Callithrix jacchus: one gene and its partners. The protein of the gene in region 2 purifies or fractionates together with the protein of the main gene of each other region. This does not show direct contact. Links are inferred from orthologs where the notes say so. Each region holds a gene or a part of one and is shown on either strand. Other genes may lie near its edges. The genes, in order: TRIB3, COP1, ETV1 and MVP.

The links.
Region 1: the proteins of COP1 (region 2) and TRIB3 purify together in Homo sapiens (affinity purification with mass spectrometry; 5 studies listed by BioGRID and IntAct, counting the BioPlex papers as one, with this or other methods). This does not show direct contact. The link is inferred for Callithrix jacchus from reciprocal best matches to the Homo sapiens genes COP1 and TRIB3.
Region 3: the proteins of COP1 (region 2) and ETV1 purify together in Homo sapiens (affinity purification with mass spectrometry; 4 studies listed by BioGRID and IntAct, counting the BioPlex papers as one, with this or other methods). This does not show direct contact. The link is inferred for Callithrix jacchus from reciprocal best matches to the Homo sapiens genes COP1 and ETV1.
Region 4: the proteins of COP1 (region 2) and MVP purify together in Homo sapiens (affinity purification with mass spectrometry; 3 studies listed by BioGRID and IntAct, with this or other methods). This does not show direct contact. The link is inferred for Callithrix jacchus from reciprocal best matches to the Homo sapiens genes COP1 and MVP.

The regions. Positions count from the first base shown.
Region 1 is NC_133506.1:8,144,483-8,149,756, reverse strand, and holds the end of TRIB3 (tribbles homolog 3), read right to left. Parts: intron 2,234-5,274; coding exon 1,741-2,233; 3' UTR 881-1,740; downstream 1-880. UniProt on the Homo sapiens protein: Inactive protein kinase which acts as a regulator of the integrated stress response (ISR), a process for adaptation to various stress. Inhibits the transcriptional activity of DDIT3/CHOP and is involved in DDIT3/CHOP-dependent cell death during ER stress.
Region 2 is NC_133519.1:27,120,241-27,125,514, reverse strand, and holds part of COP1 (E3 ubiquitin-protein ligase COP1), read right to left. Parts: intron 4,077-5,274; coding exon 3,933-4,076; intron 1,151-3,932; coding exon 1,042-1,150; intron 573-1,041; coding exon 491-572; intron 1-490. UniProt on the Homo sapiens protein: E3 ubiquitin-protein ligase that mediates ubiquitination and subsequent proteasomal degradation of target proteins.
Region 3 is NC_133512.1:44,531,794-44,537,067, reverse strand, and holds part of ETV1 (ETS translocation variant 1), read right to left. Parts: intron 1,635-5,274; coding exon 1,387-1,634; intron 1-1,386. UniProt on the Homo sapiens protein: Transcriptional activator that binds to DNA sequences containing the consensus pentanucleotide 5'-CGGA[AT]-3'. Required for olfactory dopaminergic neuron differentiation; may directly activate expression of tyrosine hydroxylase (TH).
Region 4 is NC_133513.1:29,686,997-29,692,911, forward strand, and holds the start of MVP (major vault protein), read right to left. Parts: upstream 4,050-5,915; 5' UTR 3,991-4,049; intron 2,944-3,990; exon of another isoform or gene 2,770-2,943; intron 2,008-2,769; exon of another isoform or gene 1,827-2,007; intron 1-1,826. Other genes in the region: PAGR1 (PAXIP1-associated glutamate-rich protein 1), read right to left, coding at 4,672-4,871. UniProt on the Homo sapiens protein: Required for normal vault structure. Vaults are multi-subunit structures that may act as scaffolds for proteins involved in signal transduction. Vaults may also play a role in nucleo-cytoplasmic transport.

The DNA of each region.
Region 1 (5,274 bases), on a different chromosome or scaffold from region 2:
CTCCTATAAGCACACGAGCTCCACCTACAGCTGGAGGAGTGCCACGGTTAGTGTAAGCACGTGCTCCATGAATGTAAGCTGGTGATTGGTTAGAAACGGGTACCTGATGCAGTTCTGACCAATAAGATGTGTGGGAAGGTCGGTCAGAAGCGCTTCTGGGAAAGTTTCCTTCATCCCAATGAAGAGATGCGGGAGCAACTTTTATTGCTGGCTTATTATGCCAGGCGCTGCTTGTTCTAAATGCTTTACACAAAGTACTCATTCAGGTTCTCATAAGTTAGGTACTATTATTGTCCCGCATGGTACAGATGAAGAATCTGAGGCACAGAGTGATTAAGAAACTTGCCAAGAGTCAAACAGCTATTGAGTGCTGGAGCCAGGATTTAATTCTGGGCAGCCTGACTCCAGAGTTCCGAGTTCTCAGGTAGTACAATGCCCCTGCCTTCTTCCTCTGGTCACGGACCTCTCTAATGTGACACCTGCTGTAGCCATTGGGCCAGCAGTCTCGAGGGACAATACAGTCAAGAGACAGAAGGAGCCTGGAGAGCAGGGGTCTTGCTCACAGCCTGGAGTTGAATGGACCAGCACTGAAGCCCACCCTATCCACTGACTTCTTGCTTTGTGTGAAACGTATTTCTGTCTTGTTGAAGCCATTTTGACTCAGAAAGTACCCTAATAGAGACACCGCTGCTGCCAGAAGAGACAGAGGGAGTGCAGGAAAACCCGCTGGGCTCCAGGTAATCTGTTCTTACAAACCACTCAGCTGAGACTGAGACACAACTCCATGGCTTTTCACCATGGGGGCCAGTTTTGAAGGCAAGGAAAATGGATAAAAGATGGTTGCAAAGGATGGAAGAAATCGCCTAGGTAAATAGAAGTATTTCATAATTCTTTATTAGGCACAGGTGAAAATACATACTCATGGCATCCAAAACCTAGAGTATCGACCTGGGATCGTGGACCCCAACTGTTCCCAGAACAGTCCCACCTGGGACTTTCCAGGTGGCCACAGGACAGACCCTGCCTAATCCTGTCCCTCAATCTTGGTGCTTAGGTCAGAAGTGCCATGGTTGACGGGCCTGGACCCTCATTCCAGAACATTCTTGAGTTAGACAAGTACTAGCCTCATAGTTTGGATTCTTATCTCTGGCCCAAATCCCGGGCTTGGGCCTGGAAAGAGAATCTCTTGATCAAGAGGACAGAGATGCTGGGAACACAGGTCCCAGAGTGAGCTGGGCTTGGGTCCTGAGTTTCAGGGGAGTGGCCTGGAGCCTTTGGCACAGGGATACCTCCCTTTCTCTGAAAAGGTACAAGATAAAAAGGCAGCTGGTTTGTTTGTGAAACGGATTGTCCTTGGACAGAGGTGCCTGAACACCAGTACCAGTGGAGGCTGACACTGGCACAAAGTGTACCCAGTGTAGACAGTGACCGATGGCCATAGAAAAGTGTTGTCAGCTCAGGAATGCCAGTTTGTCATCTCTATGAGCAGGGAGTATTGTTCCTTTGCTCACTGCTGTGTTCCCAGCACCTAGAACAGGGCTTGGCGCTTGATAAGCACCCAAGCAGGAATTGCATGTGTGTGGAACAAAGCAGGTGTGTACACAGCACACTCCATGCAGGCTTCTGCCTTTCTCCCTTCTAAAGGCACTGAAGGTTTGGCTCAGCTCAGAGGCAGGAGAAAGCTTGGAGCCACCCCAAACTCAATCCACTGTTGGCAGCTGAGCGTGTAGTGGGGTGGCCCTAGCCATACAGAACCAGTTCGCTGTCTTCCTCTTCTTCCTTGGCTTCATCCAGCCTCGGTCCATCAGGGACCACCTGATCAGCCTCCCAGAGATGGGATCGGGTTGGGGCTGAGGGCATCGGGTCCTCCCGCAGCCAGGGGTGCAGGAGGATGCTTGTGGCTGTAAGCCGCTCAGCTGGCTCCCGACGAAGGAGGCAGCGAACCAGACAGCGGGCAGGGGCTGAGAGGCCTGCAGGCAAGGCATAGGCCCCGCGGCGGATCTTGCCAAAGAGCAGGACAGGCTCTGAGTCCTGGAAAGGGTAGTGGCCGGCCAGCATGGTGAAGAGTGCCACGCCCAGGCTCCAGACATCCGCTGCCTTGCCTGAGTATGATGCCTGTGAGCTGAGTATTTCAGGTCCCACATAGGCTGGGCATGCGTTCTTATCCCACAGGGAATCATCTGGCCCGGTCAGCACACAGGTGTCCTCCAGGTTCTCCAGCACCAGCTTCTTCCTGGGACATGGGGAGAAACATAAGGGTCAAGTCCCACCCAGAGCCCCCATGCCACTACCCCATACTGTCACCTTAGTGGCACCCACTTTCAAGTGCCTGCTGGTCTTTGACAGACACAAGTCAGTCTTTTGATGTCTGATCCTGTTTTCCAGAAAACTAAGCCCAGGCTCAGAGAGGTTAAGTCAGTTAAGGCCACAGAGCAATTAAATTTAAACTAACATTCTGAACGGAATAAATTTCTCAACAGTCCCTTGGGAAGGGGACTGATGGGGCTTAGAGAGTTAAGCCTCTCTTAAACCAGATGCAAACTTAGGGTCCAAACTTAGGGAAGAGTGCCAGACATTTCAGCGCAAGCCCTGCCTAAAAAGGGCACCACCAACGACACATTCTAGGGTTTATCAAGTGTCCGCTGTGTTCTTCGCCCTTGGCCCAGCTTATTACCTGGCTTATCTCATTCTATCCAGGCTACAACGTGCAAGGACACCGTTTTACAGCTCTAGAGCATCAGCCTGGGATGGGAACCCTGGCTCGCAGATACCCAGAGCCAGTGCTGTGACCCACTCTCGTAGTTTTCAAGGTGGCCCCATGTTCCCATTCTTTTCCCCAAGAGAGTCAGGAATCCTATTTTAATGAAAAAGTCCCCATTTAAAAAATATTGGCAATGAGTTTCAATAAAAAACACGAACAGGAGCAGGGCAAAAAGAAAAGTGTGTGTAAGGCTGGGCGCGGTAACTCACACCTATGATCCTAGCACTTTGGGAGGCCGAGGCAGGTGGATCACTTGAGTTCAGGAGTTCACGACCAGCCTGGGCAACATGGTGAAACCATCTCTACAAAAAATACAAAACTTAGCCAGGTGTGGTGACTCACGCCTGTGGTCCCAGCTACTTGGGAGGCTGAGGCAGGAGGATATCATTTGAGCCCAGGAGGCAGAGGTTGCAGTGAGCTGTGATAGCTCCACTGCACTCTAGCCTGGGGGACAGAGTGAGAACCCATCTCAAAAAAAAAAAAAAAGTGTATCCTGCCATTTGCAATTTCTAGTTTAAACAGAGCACTCTAAGATGACTTTCATAGCAATCATTCTGTTACCACTGCTATTCATTTCTTCTTTATGGCACCACTTCCTGGGTGTCCATTGGCATTTCACAAATACCGACCAATCCTATGAATCACAGTATTGAGGGACGAGGAGTGTCAGCATTATTGGCCCATTTTACAGATGAAGATACAAAGGCTCAGGCAAGTGAAGTCATTTCTCGGGGCCAAAAAGCCGGTCAGAAGCAGAACCCAGGATTTAAACACAGGTCTATCTAACTCACGGTCTCTCTTCTACCAGTGCCTCTCATGTGACTTTTCTTCTTTAGAGACAGGGTCTCACTCTGTCACCTGGGCTGGAGTGCAGTGATGCAATCCTAGCTCACTGCAACCTCAAACGTCTGCGCTCAGCCTCCCAAGTAGCTGGGATCACAGGTGTGCACCACCACACCTGCCTAATTTTTCTAAATTTTTGTGCAGATGGGGTTTCACTATGTTGCCTAGGCTGGCCTCGAACTGTGGTGTTTAAGCAATCCTCCTGCTTAGGCCTCCCAAAGCACTGGGATTACAGGTATGAGCCATCAGATGATTTCTTAAAAAGAGCAGGAAGCACATTCTCTCTTCCAGAAGGTCTGGGGTAGTTGTATCTACTCTGAGCTTAAAATATGTTTGAAGTTATGCACTAGCTTAAAAGTCATTATAAATTCTACTTCTTTAAAAAAGGCATGCTTCTTTTACTATAAAATGTAAAAGGAAATATTAATAGAAAATCAGCCTTTGGGGCTGGGCGCGGAGGCCCACACCTATAATCTCAGCACTTTGGGCCAATACAGGCAGAGCACTTGATGTCCGGAGTTCAAGACCAGCCTGGCCAACATGGCAAAACCCCATCTCTATTAAAAATACAAAAATTAGCCAAGTGTGGTGGTGTGTCCCTGTTATCCCAGCTACTCAAGAGGCTGTCGGGAGAATCGCAAGAACCCAGGAGGCAGAGGTTGCAGGGCGTCAGGATCATGCCACTGCACTGCAACCTGGGCAACAGGGCGAGACTGTCTTAAAAGAAAAGAAAATTAGTCTTAGGCAAGCACCACAGTAATAACTGCTACAGGCAAGATGGATGGCTGCTAAAATTAGTAGGGGAAAGTTGAGGAAAAACAGGATATTTATATGCTTAGCTTACCTACCCCAAGGTATTTATCCATTACAAAGGCTAAATTAAAAACCTTAGAGGAGAGAAACCTGGCAGGTCCTACCCTAACCAAGTGATCAAGGTTACAACACAGTAATGACTATCAACTCAATGATATGATGTGGAGAGGGACCTATCAATTCTGTGTTGTTCTTGCCAAAAATATATAACCACGGCTGGGCGCGGTGGCTCACGCCTGTAATCTCAGCACTTTAGGAGGCAGAAGTGGGTGGATCACCTGAGGTCAGGAGTTCAAGACCAGCCTGACCAACATGGTGAAACCCCATCTCTAAAGAGATTATATATATATATATATAAAACTGCAATCTAACTTTAAGAAAACGTCAATCAAATCCAAATTGAGGGACATACAAAGTAACTGATCAGTACTCTTCAAAAGTCTCAAGGTTATGGTGGGAGCAGTGGCTCACACCTATAATACCAGCACTTTGGGAGGCTGAGGGGGGGCAGATTGCTTGAGCTCAGGAGTTCGAGGCCAGCCTGGGCAGTATAGCAAGACCCCATCTCAATTAGCCAGGCATGGTGGCACACACCTGTAAACCAGCTACTCAGGAGGGTGAGGTGGGAGGATCACTTGAGCCCAGGAGTTCAAGGCTGCAGTAAGCTATGATCACACCACTGCACTCCAGCCTTGGTGACAGAGTGAGATCCTATCTCAAAAAAAAAAAAAAAAAATCATGGGTTATCAAAGACGGGGAAAGACTGAGGAACTGTCTCAGATTAGACGAGGCCAAGGAAACCACTGATAACTAAATCGGGATCCTCACTGGATCCTGCACAGCAAGGGGTGTTCGTG
Region 2 (5,274 bases):
GTAGTGGGCTGAGATTGGAGCCACTGCATTCCAGCCTGGGTGACAGAGCAAAACTCCATCTGGGGAGGAGGCGGGGAAGTGGCTCACACCTGTAATCCCAGCACTTTGAGAGGCTGAGGTGGGCAGATCACTTGAGGTCAGGAGTTTGAGACCAGCCTGGCTAATGTGGTGAAACCCTGTCTGTAACAAAAATATAAAAAATTAGCTAGGCGTGGTGGTGTGCACCTGTAATCCTAACTACTCAGGAGGCAGAGAATTGCTTGAACCTGGAAGGCGGACGTTGCAGTGAGCCGTGATCATCACACTATACTCTAGCCTGGATGACACAGAGAGACTCCATCTCAAAAAATAAAACAGAACAATAATAATAATCAGTTATCATAAAGGACTGCGTGAGTTTCAGTAAATTTTCGTATTTCTGCCAACGAAAGTAATTAAGGTTAGGAGGGCCAGGGAGAAGGGGGTAGTGAGAAAGAGATTCAAATAGTACCTTTTGCATCATCAGAACCTGAAGCCAAGAGTTTAGGATCCATCAAATTAAAGTCAACACTCCAACACCTCTTCTCATGCTCCTGGAAGCAGAAGGAAGACACAGTAGCCTCAGACAGAATAGAGATATCAAAATGAATAAAGCAAGAAAAAAAAAAGAAAAACTGATACCAATTTATTGTTATGGGGAGAGGGAAAGAAAATAGGTTAGAAAACAAATGAAAAGCAAGATGTTGATGCAAAGTACTTTTAAAACTTTTTATATATATACATTTACTAAAATTATTGCTTTTAGAAATATAGTTGATGCATTCTATAAAGACTAAAGTCTTAGGAAATGCTTTGGAAAAGTATTTGGTACCAAAAAAGGGAGATGGAAAAAAAAAAATATTTGGTATTGCATAGCTGTTACACTAGCAAAAAAAAAAAAAAAAAAACCAACAACACTAAATAGTGACTTCATATCTGTAATTCTAAAGCACATGAAATTCTAAAAGTTTTAACAAAATAAATATATGATCCATATAACATGTAACTACTACTCTTATTTACCTGATAGACCTTTGACCTCTGTCCGGTGAATCCATCCCATAAAATAACAGTGCCTTCATAATCACTGCTAGCTAACAGGTTCTTATGGTAACTACTCCAACTGATACAGCTGAAAGAAATACAGTTAAAAATTACTTTACATAAAAATAAATAACAATGGGATAAAAAGAATTTCAATGTGTTCAGAAAGATTTGCACTATTTAAAAATAGTCCATATCAGTTGACAATCATTATTCTGCCCAAAACGAACCTGGGAAAAGATAGCAATAATTTTGAAATTTTAAAAATTGAAGTGAACAAGTAATGAACCCAACCACTTTTTACTGTGATCACTAGCTGTAAGATGGGTGAGCCTGGAGCCACCACTGGCCATCTTTGATACATGAGGAAAGCATGCCCATCAGTGAAGGTGATACCGCCCAGAGGGCTCAAGGCATTCGATGACAGAATGACAGACCCAATAAGACTGTTTAAGACCCTATATCCATCTGTCCATTGAAAAAGTAAATAAATTTTAAATTAAAAAAAAAAAGACTCTGTATCCCGTTTTGCCAAACCATATAAGCCAAATAAACTATAGTGAATTGGGTTTCTGTATTTACATCCAAACTGTCTTGACTTGACTAATTATAACTTATGACTAAAATTATTAGTCCAATTAAAAGCATCTAAAAGAACCAAACATTTATCATTTATGGTTTTGGCTATTCTCAAGTGCTCCAAGTCTACAACATATAAAAATGTATACTTCTGCTGAGATACATATCTGCATCATGAATACAGTAAAGGGAGGGAATATTATGAAAGAAGCTACTTATAAAGCAGTTAATGTAAATGACTTCTTAGACATGAATAAAGCAAGAAAAAAAAGGAAAACTGATACCAATTTATTGTTATGGGGAAAGGGAAAGAAAATAGGTTAGAAAACAAATGAAAAGCAAGATGTTGATACAAAGTACTTTCAAAACTTTTTATAGCTTTTTATAAGGTCTTTTGCTTTCTACTAGTTGCATTCATGCTAAATTTCAGAGACTGGAAGAGTCCATTTGCATTTTTAAATATATTTAAATTTCTGGTAGAAACTATATGGAACAGTTAAGAGCCACATTTTGAATTTAGGCAGACTTGAGTTCAAATTCCAGATCTGTTACTTACTAGCTGTGGCTCTGGCTAATTTAGTTCACTTTCACAGTAGATGTGCTCCAAATCTATTTTAGACATGCTTAGGTATTGAGTGCTTTCACCATTTATTCCAATGTACCAGGAAGTATTGCAGATTTTTACATATATAATTACAGAACAGGTAGGTTGCACATTTAAATGTTCTAATCCACATTTTCATTATGTAACATAAATACTTGCTATGGGCCAAGTATCATTCTGAGTGCATTATGGAGATTTTTTTAAAGGTACAATCCTATTAAATAGGTATTACTGTCGTGGCCGCCATTTTATAAATAAGCAGCATGAAATGTTTAAGAGCACAGACTCTAGAAACAAACTACTTCAGTCTGAATCCTGGATCCTCTGTATACCAGCTGTATAATCTTGCACAGGTTAGTAAATACCTTTCTGTGCTCAGCTTTCTTTGTATAAAATGGAGCAATAATGGCAAGTTTCTCATAGGTCTGCTATAGACAACGCACTTAGGATAATGCCTGATATCTAAGAATTCAATAAAGTTGTATCTAATTCTTGTTATATCCTCTTCACTTAGGACATAAACTGTAATAGATTCTCAACAACGAGTGCCACTAATGAATGGGCAAGCTCACCAATTATCAAGATAGTATTTTTATAAATGAACTAAAAAAAAAAAAACTATAACAAATTAATTATACAAAGATTGTAACAAACATACTATGTATGTCATTTAAATAGTTAAGAAAGGTTCAAGGATGGCTATTTTGAAAATGTTCAAAGTTACATACAAAGTTATTATTAGACGATTTCCTCATAAAGCCAATGCTCATGAGAACAGCTTGGGAAGCTTGTTTAGAAAACAAACAAAAAGCATATTCTAAGATTCTTCTGAGATTTTTTGGAGAGAAGATCAAGTAGAGTCTGTAAACATTAACAGTATTTTATGTCTGAAAAGCACTGCTTATGAAGTATAATCTCTAAAACATAAAACATAAACACCATTCCTTCAGTGCAAAGCAGAATGTTCTTATAAAAAATTCTTAAAACTAGAAACCATTCTGTTATGTTGAGAGATATGTCCATGCTAGGGGAAAAATTCCTGATGTTTTTATATTAAGGTACATTAATCCTTATTCAGTACTCCACGGCGTCTCCGACAATCACCTGCAACAAAGACCTTTATTTGATTAAGTGAAAGAAGAGCTTTCATTTGGCAACTAGGAAAAAAAAAAAAGGCTAACCCCACAAGAAAAAAGCAAGCAGTATCTGCAAGAAAGATGATCTTAATAATAATATATACTCTGAATATACAGTACAATTATAGTGTTCACCATGAATGAGTAAGAAGTATCATGGAGCTGAGGGCACGGTAGCTCACGCCTGTATCCCAGCACTTGGGGAGGCCGAGGCCAGTAGATCATGAGGAGAGGAGTTCAAGACCAGCCTGGCCAATATGGAGAAACCCTGTCTCTACTAAAAATACAAAAAAAATTAGCCAGGCAGCGGTGGGCGCCAGTAATCCCAGCTACTCTGGAGGTGGAGGCAGAGAATCACTTGAACCCGGGAGGCAGAGGTTGCAGTGAGCCGAGATCACGCCACTACACTCCAGCCTGGGCGACAGAGCGAGACTCCATCTCGGGAAAAAAAAGAAAAAAAAGTGTCATGGCAAGGTAAAATAATCTCATGATAATTACATATGCAAATTGTTACATATATACTGTATCATGTGAAGAAATAATGTAAATACCTGATTTTGGAATTGCAGGTCATTTCATTTTCAGGGTAATGAATATCCACTGCATCCTGGATGACGGTGCCATATTCATAAACTTTAATCTTCTTTGTAACCCCAGCAATCGCAAAATAGTCACAATCCCGGTCAAATTCAATACTAAGGGGAAAAAGTATACGCCTTGCTCAATAAGACTATTTACTTCTCCGTGTGACATTTATAAAGACAACATTTCAGAATTTGCTATTTTCTAGTTCTAAAGTAATTCTCTCTACAAGGATAAGAGATCTACTTTAAATGCCTTTAAGTTGTTCTAGGCCTCATATCCAGATTAAGTCATCAACACATATCAAATTAAAAGTCTTTGAGACTTGTGTATATCTACACAATTGTGCACAGGTGTACTTTTGTTCCTAGATATCTGACATGCTCTTCATTCAGCTCTAATAACCATATCACAGCTTAGTGAGAAAGATTTAATGGCATGAATTATTTGATATACCAGAAGTACGCCAAAAGATAATTATCAACTCATTTTTCATACATTCTAGTTATTTCCCTGACATTTTGTGGAGATGGTAGAATTTTGCAATATTCAATTTTTCAAAAAATATATTAGTATATAAGTTGAATTACTGAAGCAACTGGGTGATGACAAGTGGAGAGCATACATATAATCGAACCACTAAATTATCACTACTTTTTCCCAAATCCATACCTAATTCCCTCCCCAAATAGCTCTCTGAATTATAAAACCCCAATGCACACTCCTTATACCACAACAGGTTAAAAAATAGTAAAACATCTCCCTTCCTTTAGCATTACTTATAAAATTCACCCCCTCTTGCTGATCATTTTTATGTAAGCTCCAAAATAAGCTAAATGAAACCAAATACAAGATCACTGCTCTTATAGAACTGAACTTGGAGCCTAAACAAAGTTTTTGTTATAGAGCCAGCTGGAAATCTAATTAGCCCAATGGTAGTAAAAGTTGAAATGAATCATCACATACATTTTTCATTATTATTTAAGCCTCTTTTCTAGAGGTTTAGCCATAAGAATTCTCACTGATCTAAAATTAATTACATAATAATACCTAATATTCATTAATCATTCACTAACTACTAAAACATTTTGCATGTATTAACTCATTTAGTTCTTATAACAATCCTGTGATATATGTATTATTATTATCTACATTACACAGACGGGAAAATGACGATTAGAGGTGAGGTAAACTGCCCATAGTTAGTCAGTTTGTAAGTGACTGAGATGGTATTGAAACACAAGGTAGTCTGGTTTCAGTGCTGGTGCTAATAATTACCATGCTTTATCACAGATCAAAGCTCTTACGTAA
Region 3 (5,274 bases), on a different chromosome or scaffold from region 2:
TGCCCAGTCTTCAGATCCTAGCCCACCCTACTTTTTGTTTCTCTTCCTATCCTTGATCTCAATATCGTGCCATACTGTGAGAGGCTCCTAGGGCTATCTATAGGAGCAATGTGCTCTGCCTTCAGAAAACAGGGCCTGGGATGAATTCGCTCAGGTCCTGGAAGGCCAGTGGGCAAAGAATTCATAGATCTTGGGGAGCTGGCACACTTTTTAGAAGTTGAAGCATGCCTCAAGGTGGCCAATTTCCTTAGTCCTTTGAACCTACTGGCCAGTGCAGAAGGGTACACAAAGGATGACCAGAGGGAGACTTCTAAGTCATAGGCTCTCTTTTGCAGAGCCTTAAGGGAAGTTCATTATGAAGCAGGTAATCTTATATGCAAATTGATAACTCCAGATGTGGAGATAGTTTTTACTCCAGTAGACTGATAGAACTCACAGAGGAAGCAACAGTTCCTTCACAAAGAATGCCCAAACTTTATATCCAGACAAAAGGAAATGATATTGTTCTCAAATATTTCCATATCCACAACCAACTATTGACCACTGATACAATAACGCTAATAATATTCTACTGCCTCAGGAGGCTTAGGCAGGAGAATCACTGCCTGCCTCAGTGATTATAAGGTACATGGTAACCTTATAAACATTAGCTTTTATTTCATAGATTTTTTCAAAATACCTGAGATGTGTTAAAAACAGATGTCCTGATTTGGCAGACTATAGAAGGAAAAACTCAACAGAGTTAAGTAATTCTTCTAAAATCTCAAGGTTCAAATACTGGCAAAGTTGGCGATATTATTTGGAAAAGATTTCAAACCCTCTCTCCTTTCAGGAAACCCCTCTCTCCCCCTCGATATGCTGCTCTGTACTACTTTCTAGCTCACAGAGACAAAGCTAAGCTCTATGAATAATCTGTGTTGTTCCCATCAATATATAAGAATTCTTACTTACAAACAGAGTCTTTGCCACCAATAATTTTTTTAATGTTATAAGCAATATATGACCCATGTCAGAAGAATATTACTTTTGGTAAACATTGCTATTAAGTAGCACTGCAGTAGCAAAATAGAAAAATTTAAAAAAAGCACTGAATTAAGAAAAAAAACTGCAGTATCCCTCTCGAGCTGAGAGTGTGCATAATTCTGTAAAGTGTACTTTTCTTTAAACTGCTTTTGTTTTCAGACACTATCTCAACCTCACGTCATGTCAAAATGACTTGAAATCCAATTCTTTACACGTAGATGACGTTTCAGTGAAGGGACAAAATCTGAAAGATCTCATTAAAAAAATGGTCAAGAGCTACCCAGTCTGCTATCAACACTAACCAATGTGACAAGGGAGGTGAAAAGGTGCCTTGAATGTAATTTGAGCAGAGCACAGGCCTACCTGAGTCATATGCAAAATCTCTGGGTTCCTGTTTAATCATCAGAGGAGGGGGAAAGCTTTGGCTGGCCGCACTGCCAACCATGGTGCTGTGTTCATACACTGGGTCGTGGTACTCCTGCTTAAAGCCTTGTGGTGGGAAAGGGATGTTTGGCTCAGACATCTGGCGTTGGTACATAGGACGTCCTTCCCTGGGCATTGTCGGCAAAGGAGGAAAGGAATTACAGGGTTCAGAAAGCTGGCGGCGAAATCTAGGGAGTAAAAGAGTGTGTTTCAGATGAAATGGTAACATGGAACATTCTTTAAAATACTAATACGGTTTTTCATGTCTTAGTGAATGAACATGATACCAGCCGACCTGAAGTGGAAATCTTTAACAAACATTACATTTTTCTTTCCTAGATTAGAGGCTCTATGCTTTTTAATCATATGACTTGTATTCCCCTTCTAATCAGTCTCTTGCGGCACTGTTGCACTATATGAATTAAAGATGGACTTTGAGTACAGATTGGAGAGCAATGAGCAACTCTGAGGATCACACACACACATCCCTTAATGGCTAAAATGTCCAGATCTAAATCAATTGGATCACTTATGATTTCCACACAAAAAGGGCCTTAAGTGATTATCTACAAGGAAAAAAAAGGCGGGGGGAAACAGTCTGATCTCAAACTGCATCTTCTATCTTTTAAATCTGTTACCAAACTAATCAATAAGCAAAAAAAAAAAAAAACAAAAATCAATTTATTGGTTTTCCTTCCATTGCCATCCATTGCTGAGGAAGCAAGAGAAGAATGACTCTTTTCTCAAATCAGCAGGACTTTTAATTCCTCAACAATGTCCTAATTAACATTGTAAGAAACAAACTGAGTATTATAAGGACTCAAAACCAAGCTGGTTTTAAAAAAATTACCTCTTTACTGTCAAACAGCAATGCAGACCATATTGGCTTCCTATAGATTCAAATACAGTATCAGGTTGATAAAAACAAGCAAAAATATACAACTGATCTCCAAAGGTGAAAATAACAGATAGTGTTGTATAGATTTGGGGCAAGTCCCACTGTTAGGACATGAGGAAGTTCTGAGGCCTTGGCAGACAGCTAGGATTACGTCCTATACCTTCTTTGTTCTTGGTTCTACTTTGTAATGATTGGCTAATCACATAATCATTCTGTTCTGTGTCTCTCATCCATAATATCATTGACCCACCACAAAGATGTGGATTAATTAAAGATTTAAAAGTGCTCTAAAAATGCCCCAAGAGTGCTTAAAAATAACCTATAAAACATTTCTATGAGCAAATATAAGCCTATTAACCACCCCCCCAACTAAAAGCATTCCTGAGACTTTAATTTGGAAAGTTAGCATTTAATTTCGGTAATGTTAAATGAAAATAAGGTAAAAGCTAAAGAATGGCACAGCGATTGCTTTAGCATTTCTAAGAACACTCCATCCTGTGATTTAACTCTAGGCTCACTGGTGGTGAGGGAAAGCACTGAAATTCCACCTACACCTGCAGAAAATAAACTTAGAAACTCGGATATTGCAAAGCAGTTAGGCTGAATGGCACTGCATTCATTTCCCTTCTCTTGCTTATTTCATTAGCCAAAAAAAGAAACAGAAATTATCATTAAGGACTGTCAAGGAGTGAATCAGAAAATTGTAACTTGAAGTTAAAATAAGAAACTGGCTCACTTGTAAAGCCTTAAAAGGAAGTTAATAATACTTGTAACTGAAAGCTTTGTAAGGAATCAAGCCGTTCGTTTTTACCAGTCGACCTGATCCCAGTTGGAAGTTGCTGGGGAACATATATGTATCAAACACCCATGCTTCCCGAAAACTTGCAAGGTTTTGGTGCAATTCTTAGGAGTCACTGACCAATGGTGAAGAGAATGTGATTCAAGAAGCTTCTGCAAAGGAGTTAACAGATAAGGAGAACATGCTGATGAACTCGTCGATAAAGAAAAAATGGGGCTTAAGTGGTGGAAACTCTGAGAAAGAGAGACAGGACTCCTGCACAGTGGGTTAAGGAAAAGGTGCCAAAGGGCTGGCCCGAGGAGCAGAGCGAGGCTGAGGAAAGGAAGCAGGGTGCAGGCCAGTTGGCTGTCAAGCGTTCCCAGAGTGAAGTGGGGTGCCTGGCTGGAGGGGGTGTTCTGGGGAAAGGATCTGTTCCCAGAGCAAATTTGCCATTTATAACTGAGGGACTGTCATTTATTGGCCAGAGCCCTCTAAGAAATCCTCCTCAGAAACATACGGCTTTAGAGATTTTCCTGGGACTGGCCAGCTGGTACTGTCCTCAAAACTCAGTCAGGGGTCAGTGGGAAAAGACCCTGAGCTTCCCTCTTGGAGTTCCGGGCCGGCTGTTCTCAGTCTCAAATATTTGACTTCAAGTAGAGAAACTAAAATGGATTTGGCTAAAAAGCATTTCAAGTTAGGTCACCTAAAACCAGGCACATTGCTTATTCAGCAGTCACCTTCACCAAGAAATAACTAGTTTGCACCAAAAGCGAATTATACAATCTATAATTCTGGCACTGATCAGAAGAGGGAGCTTCAATTATCAAGAACTCCAAGAAGTCGCCAGTAGTGGAGAAAATAAAACTTTGTTTGTTCATACTTTCCTTCCCTTTTAGCTCTGCACAATGTGCATCTGTTTAATGGCCCACCCTGCAATAAGAATTCTTTCATCTGTATTTACAAAACTGTTTACACAGATGCACATACCATTGCCCTCTGACAAAGACTCAAGGCTATGGGGTGAGAAGAAAAAGATAATAGGAAGCATTTAATAACCACCCCACAAGAGGATTTAGTGATGAAAACAAGGGTGGAAAAGATAAGGCTTTGTGTCACATTGTAAAGAATGCTTTCATCTTATGCCCTTTATTGCAAAATGAGTTCCTGAATTAGAGATTGAGTCCCATGAAAAAAACTATAAAAAGCAGATTTGAGTGCTCCCTTATATTTAGAAGGTTGCCAGTGGCACATCTTCTGCTTTCCTCTGCTGATCTAGAAGATTTCTTTGGCTGAGTTATTTTTACAGTGGTGTCTCAGAGACAGTTTGCATTGACCTATTGTTAAATTACAGGAAATTTTTGAGCCATTTCTTAAACAGTGTCACTATTAAGAGTCAAATTACATAACTGCACCATCAAAATATATGTTAAAAACAAAAGATAAAAATGCAAAACTCATCACTTCCTAATTATTTTACATTTCTTTACCAATTATGCACCTGAGGTTACTTATGTCTCCCGTATCCTTATGATAGAAATACTATACTATGCTGTGCTATTGCTCTTTCCAACTAGGCATTCAGGTTTGTCACAGTGATGGCTCATAGTAGGTCATGAAAGCGATATGTACATCACATACCCAGCAAAAGCTACAGATGGGGTGTTTTGTTTTTCTCCCATGCAGCCCATTAAACATTTACCAGCACACCACTGCACAGAGAAGCCCAAGCAGAAGAGATAAAGAAGGAGAGATGCTGGCTGGGCGCAGTGGCGCAACCCTGTAATCCCAGCACTTTGGGTGGCTGAGGCGGGCGGATAACTAGGTCAAGAGATCAAGACCATCCTGGCCAACATGGTGAAAGCCTGTCTCTACTAAAAATACAAAAATTAGCTGGGTGTGGTGGCGTGTGCCTGTAGTCCCAGCTACTCGGGAGGCTGAAGCAGGAGAATTGCTTGAACCCAGGAGACGGAGGTTGCAGTGGGCCAAGACTGTGCCACTGCACTCCAGCCTGGCGCCTGGCGCCAAAGTGAGACTCTGTCTCAAAAAAGAAAAAAAAAAAAGAAGAAGGAAAAATGCTGTATATAAGCAACCTGGATTTTAAGCTGTATTTTAAGCTTCTCAGAACGTCTAAACGTTTTATTTAATATTTTAT
Region 4 (5,915 bases), on a different chromosome or scaffold from region 2:
CCTACGGCGTCTGCAGTGAGCAGAGTGGCACCACCTGGAGGCTTGTTAGCAATGCAGCCTCAGGCCCCACCCCAAAGCCACTGAATCCTCAGCATTATAACTTGACCACCAACGACTTGCACACATGTTAAAAGTCTGAGCAGCTCTGGTCTAAAGCAGAGACTCACGGCCCAGGCTACACACGACTCATCTGGAAATTTTTTTTTTTTGAGATAGAGTTCCGCACTTGTTGCCCAGACTGGAGAGCAATGGTAACATCTTGGCTCACTGCAACCTACGCCTCCTGGGTTCAAGCAATTCTCCTGCCTCAGCCTCCCAAGTAGCTGGGATTACAGGCGTACACCACCACACACAGCTAATTTCCGATTTCTCTTTTAGAAGAGATGGGGTTTCACCATGTTGGTCAGGCTGGTCTTGTACTCCTGACCTCAAGTGATCCACCCACCTCAACCTCCCAAAGGGCTAGGATAACAGGCATGAGCTGCAGTGCCCAGCTTTCTGGAGATCTTTTTTAAAGCCATCCATCTCTGGTGATTCTGTTTAATTGGACTGGGTGAGGTTCAAGCACTGCAATTTTTAAAAGTTCTCCCCTCTGACTCTTAACATATAGCCAGGATTGAGAGCCAGTGGAAGAATGTCACTCCAGCAGTTTTTAGCACTGGGAGCATGCTCCCGGGCCACTTGCTAGCCTCTGAGCTTTCCTCTCCAGTGAAGTGAGTAATAAAAGCGACTGTTGACCAGGCCTGGTGACTCACGCCTGTAATCCCAGCACTTCGGGAGGCCAAGGTGGGAAGACCGCTTGACACTAGGAGTTCAAGACCAGCCTGGGCAACACAGGAAGACCCCGTCGCTACCAAAATCATAAAAAAATACTATCTAGGTAGCCGGACTCGGTGGCTCACGCCTGTAATCCTAGCACTTTGGGAGGCCGAGGCGGGTGGATCACTAGGTCAAGAGATCGAGACCATCCTGGTCAACATGGTGAAACCCCGTCTCTACCAAAAATACAAAAAATTAGCTGGGCATAGTGGTGCGTGCCTGTAATCCCAGCTACTCAGGAGGCTGAGGCAGAATTGCCTGAACCCAGGAGGCAGAGGTTGCGGTTAGCCGAGATCGCACCATTGCACTCCAGCCTGGGTAACGAGCAAAACTCCACCTCAAAAAAAAAAAAAAAAAAAACTAGCTAGGTATGGTGGCACACACCTGTGGTCCCTGCTGCTTTGGAGGCTGAGGTGGGAGGAGGAAGGTCAAGGCTGCAGTGAACCGTAAATGGTACCCACAAGTGCACTCTAACCTGGACAACAGAGTGCATGCACTCTCAATGCACTTTTTTTTTTGAGACCATCTCAAAAAAAAAAAAAAAAGAAAAGAAAAAAAAAATGACTGCTTCCTGAAATCAGAGGTATTAGAGGATAGAGGGTCTCTGATGCACAGTAGGACCTGGAAGGAGGATAAAGATCTGTTCCAGGCTGGGCACGGTGGCTGTAATCCCAACACATTTGGAGGCCAAGGTGGGCAGACTGCCTGAGGTCAGGAGTTCGAGACCAGCCTGGCCAACGTGGTAAAACCTTGTCCCTACTAAAAATACAAAACATTGGCTAGGTGTGGTAGTGGGCACCTATAGACCCAGCTACTCAGGAGGCTGAGGCAAGAGAATTGCTTGAACCCAGGAGGCAGAGGTCGCAGTGAGCTGAGATTGCCCCACTGCACTCCAGCCTGGGCGACAGACTGAGATTCTTGTCTCAAAAACAAAAACACACAGCTCAGATTGCAGGCTGCTCAAGGGCAGGGAACTGTACTTATTTTCTTCCAGCCCATTCACTTACCCAGGTCTAAGCAGCCTCCTCTATCCCCAACCCCAGGGCTCTTGGTCCGCGCAGTCCAGAGGTTGGAGGTGAGGTCGGTGACCCAGCCTTGTCCCCAGACCTCCCACAGCTTCAGGTTTAGGAAAAGGCACGTAAAGTTTGGTATAAACAGGAACACAACTTCATGGAGTTTCTCCTCGCTGATTTAAGTTAAATATTCTAGTCTATTTAGAGAATGAGTCACATGACTCAGGAATTACCAACAGCCTATTTTCACCCAGCAGCTTCCTGGTTTACCCGCTTTAGGAGATCATTAATGGAAATTGCGAATCTGTCTCACATAAATTGCTTTTTTAAAAAGCCACAGTTTTAGGAACTTCTCTTCCCAAGGAAATCGGATCTGAGCTCCAGCCCAACTGGGCCACTTTGTGGGAGGGGGAACAGCCTGGTGACCTTCAGGAGGTAAGGGGGAGACAGAACAGCTAGGCCAGCCCAGACCTCCACTTGTTCTCCCTCCCCCCATTCCTGCCAATTAACACCAGTCACCAGAGGCAAGAACCAACTGGATATGATACGACCCACGAACCAAGCTTCAGAACCCCTCATCTACAGCAATATTTTCTAAAGTTGTCTAATCGTGGGACTGAGCTGGAATTATTATCATTTTTTTTTTTTTAAAGAACAACCCCCCCGCCGACACACACAAACAAGAGACGGAGGTCTCCTCATGTTGCTCAGGCTGGTCTGCAACTCCTGGCCTCAAGCCATCCTCCCACCTGGGCCTCCCAAAGTGCTGGGATTTCAGGCCTGAGTCACCATGCCCAGCCCTGGGCTGGAATTCTTAACCCCACTCCTGCTGCTTTTTGCAGGCCTCACTTTTGACCCACTGGGTCTAGGTTTCCTGGAGACAGCCTCTGGACCCTGTGTTCTAGGCAAACGCCCCCAAGTAATAGCTCCCACTTACCATGAGCTTAATCTGTCAGGCCTCAATTAACTCATGCTATCCTCACAAGAGCCTGAAAGTTAAGAAACTTGCCCAAGAGCACGCAGTTATCAAAGGATGAAGCTCAAAGTGTGCTCTGGGCATCATGACTGCAGAGACCACAAACCAGGAGGCAGTGGCTTTTCAGGCAGAAACAGGAAGATTCTAAACCAAGAACAAGGACTAGAGGAACTGGGTGGGGCTGGGTACTTTCCCAGATGGCGCCAATGGCAGTTCAAAGGTGTTTTCTGTAACCCGGGCCAGTGCCCAGCCTCTGTTCCCCTAGAACCTGGGAGGGCAACACCCAAGGTAACCTGAGCACCCTGTTACCATGGAGCTCTCAGGCTGTCTCTGGGCCACCCTCTCAAGGTGGCCTCCCTACCTGCTCAAGGCTATAGTGGGCTATCCTGTCCAAACAGCCACACCCCAGGGCCAACCCAGTGCTGTGTGTGCCAAGGGAGTTTCTGGGAGAGCCACCTCATACCCCACATGACAGCCAGCCTTTTCCCCCATCACCCAGGGGTCACCTAGGCAAGGAGCAGAGGACACAGGGGCCATCAGCCTCACTATCACCCCCACCCAAGGGACTGCTCTAAGATCCCCAGAATCTCAGCCTGGTGGGTACAGCTAAACATCCTCCCAAAAAGGGAAAGAACCTTGGTTACCAAATTCTATGCCTTCTAGAAATCACTCTAATGACTTCCGGAATGATCGGCTGAGGTCAACATCCGGCTGGGGCAGTAGGAAAGCCTCCTCTGTCAGAGTTAAGGGGCCTGAATGTGGACAGGTCACATTCTTGGGGCTCAAGGTGAAAGGCCAGAGCCCAGGTCCCCAGGACAGTGCAGGTAAGTAGAGCGAGCACCGATGTAGCTCTGAGATGGGGTCTGAATGAACACTGAGGTTGCCCACCTGATGTCCCATGTGGAACCCTGAAGTCAGAGGCCCGAGAGTTGCAGGGCAGTGGGGAACAGTGTTGGTGAGTTAATCTACCTTTACTTCAAAACCCAGAAAACTTCAATTATTGGAAAGTGAAATCTCCCAAAGCAAAGCCACCGCCCATCCTCCTTCCCAACTCTGATTCAGGTTTTCCCTGCCCTCCAGCAGAAGCAAGGCCCTTGAAAACAGGACAGGGTTAAAGACAGCCTCAAGGGATACAAAGATCTGCCGGATTTGAGGTTTGGGCGGCCAGTACCACGTACTCACATCTAGAAGTGCGGCTAGCTGCAACACACGCCTGAGATGGAAAACTCTCACCCAGCCCTGGGGATGAATCACTTCCCGGCAGGCCAAGCCAGGCCTGGCCCAGGGGTGGGGCTTGAGAGTTAAAGGGCCCCTGCAGCTGGTTCTCATTTTGTCCTCTGGGCTGTCTCTGCTGCAGCTGAAGGCACACTGCTCCCTGCCCGCTCATCAGTTTCTGCCTTGGAGCCAGCTGGCAGCACTGGGGTGTGGCTGGAGAATGCGAGACAGGGCAGGTGCTGACTGAGGGCGCCTCTGCCCATCTGGCTTTCATTTTCCAATCTGGGTGAATACAATTCTGCCTCTCCCTTCAAGAGGGACCAAACTGTTGAGGCTCCAGCTACAGCCACTCCTCTTAAGAGATGATAGCTCTGCATCTTTTATTTCAGACTCAGAAAATTCAGTCCCAGTCTCCAAATAGGTGTTCAATAGAAAACATGCACACGCACACACACACACACACACACACACACACTCTCTCTCTCTCTCTCTCTCTCTCTCCTCTCTCTTCCTCTTTCCTGCAACGTGCTGTTTGGGAGCTTGGGGTTTCTCTCTTCTTCCCAAGTTTCTCAGTGTCTGGGCTGGGGAAGGAGGGCCCAGGTCCCAGCAGGTACAGATGCTGCACCCTAGAGGCAGGAGCAGCAGGAGTCAGTATTTCCGTTGCCGAGGGAAGAGACTGCTCCCTGAGGATCGGAGTGGGGGGCTGGTGGGGCTGGGGTCCTCCGAGTCCAGGCTGAAGAGGTCCCTTCCAGTACGAAGGATCTGCTCCTCCAGCTTCTTGTGTCGCTTCATGTCCGAGAGCACCTTGTCCAGGCGGGCCTCCCGTTTCTGGCTCCGGGCTGAGCTTCCTGGAGAAGGGGAAGGTAAGATACATGGAAAGGATGGAGGCGGTGTGCACCAGACCTGCCTGAACCTCACTCATTACTTGGGGAGCTAGTTAAACATTCAGGTCCCCAGGCCTCTGTCTGGGAGGACCTGAGGTTCAGGGTTGGGCCTCAGAAAGAGTGAGTGGTGAAGGTCTTGAATGACAGGATGGCATGAGCAATGTGAAGAGCAGGGAGGACCATATGCGGGAGGGGGACGGCAAGGGTAAAGGCCCAGGACAAGAACAGAGTTCTGTTCAGAGAAGAGTGCAGAGAGCTGGCACTCTCGCTCTTCCCTGGCAAGATGGAATCCCTTGGAAAATTTTAAGTAGAAAAGCGACATGACTTATGGTCAGGTGCAGGGGCTCACGCCTGTAATTTCAGCACTTTGGGAGGCTGACGCAGGCAGATCACTTGAGGTCAGGAGTTTAGGACCAGCCTGGCCAACATGGCAAGAACCCATCTCTACTAAAAATCACAAAAATTAGCTAGGCATGGTGGCATGTGCCTGTAATCCCAGCTACTCAGCAGGCTGATGCAGGAGAATCATTTGAACCCAGGAGGCGCAAGTTGCAGTGGGCAGAGATCATGCCACTACACTCCAATCTGGGTGAGAGACTTCGACTCAAAAAAAAAAAAAAAAAGTGACACGATTTATATTTTAAAAGGATCATCTGAGTTGCAGAAACTGGAAGCAGAGAGCCCAGTTAGGAGCTACTGCAACTATCCAGGCAAAGATGGTGGCTTGGATGGGGGTATAGTGTTGAAAGTGGAGAGTAGCAGAGGTACTTGGAATGTACATCTTGGAGTTAGCAAGACTTGCTGTTGGTGTGAAAGTGCAGGTAAGAGAGAAAAATAAAAAATGTCTCTAGGCTGGGTGCGGTGACTCATGCCTGGAATCTCAGCATTTTGGGAGGCCAAGGCAGTGGATCACTTGAGCCCAAGAGTTTGAGACCAACCAGTCTGGGCAACATAGCAAGACCTTGTCTCTCCAAAAAAGACATGACTCTGAGGGTAAATTCTAGAAAG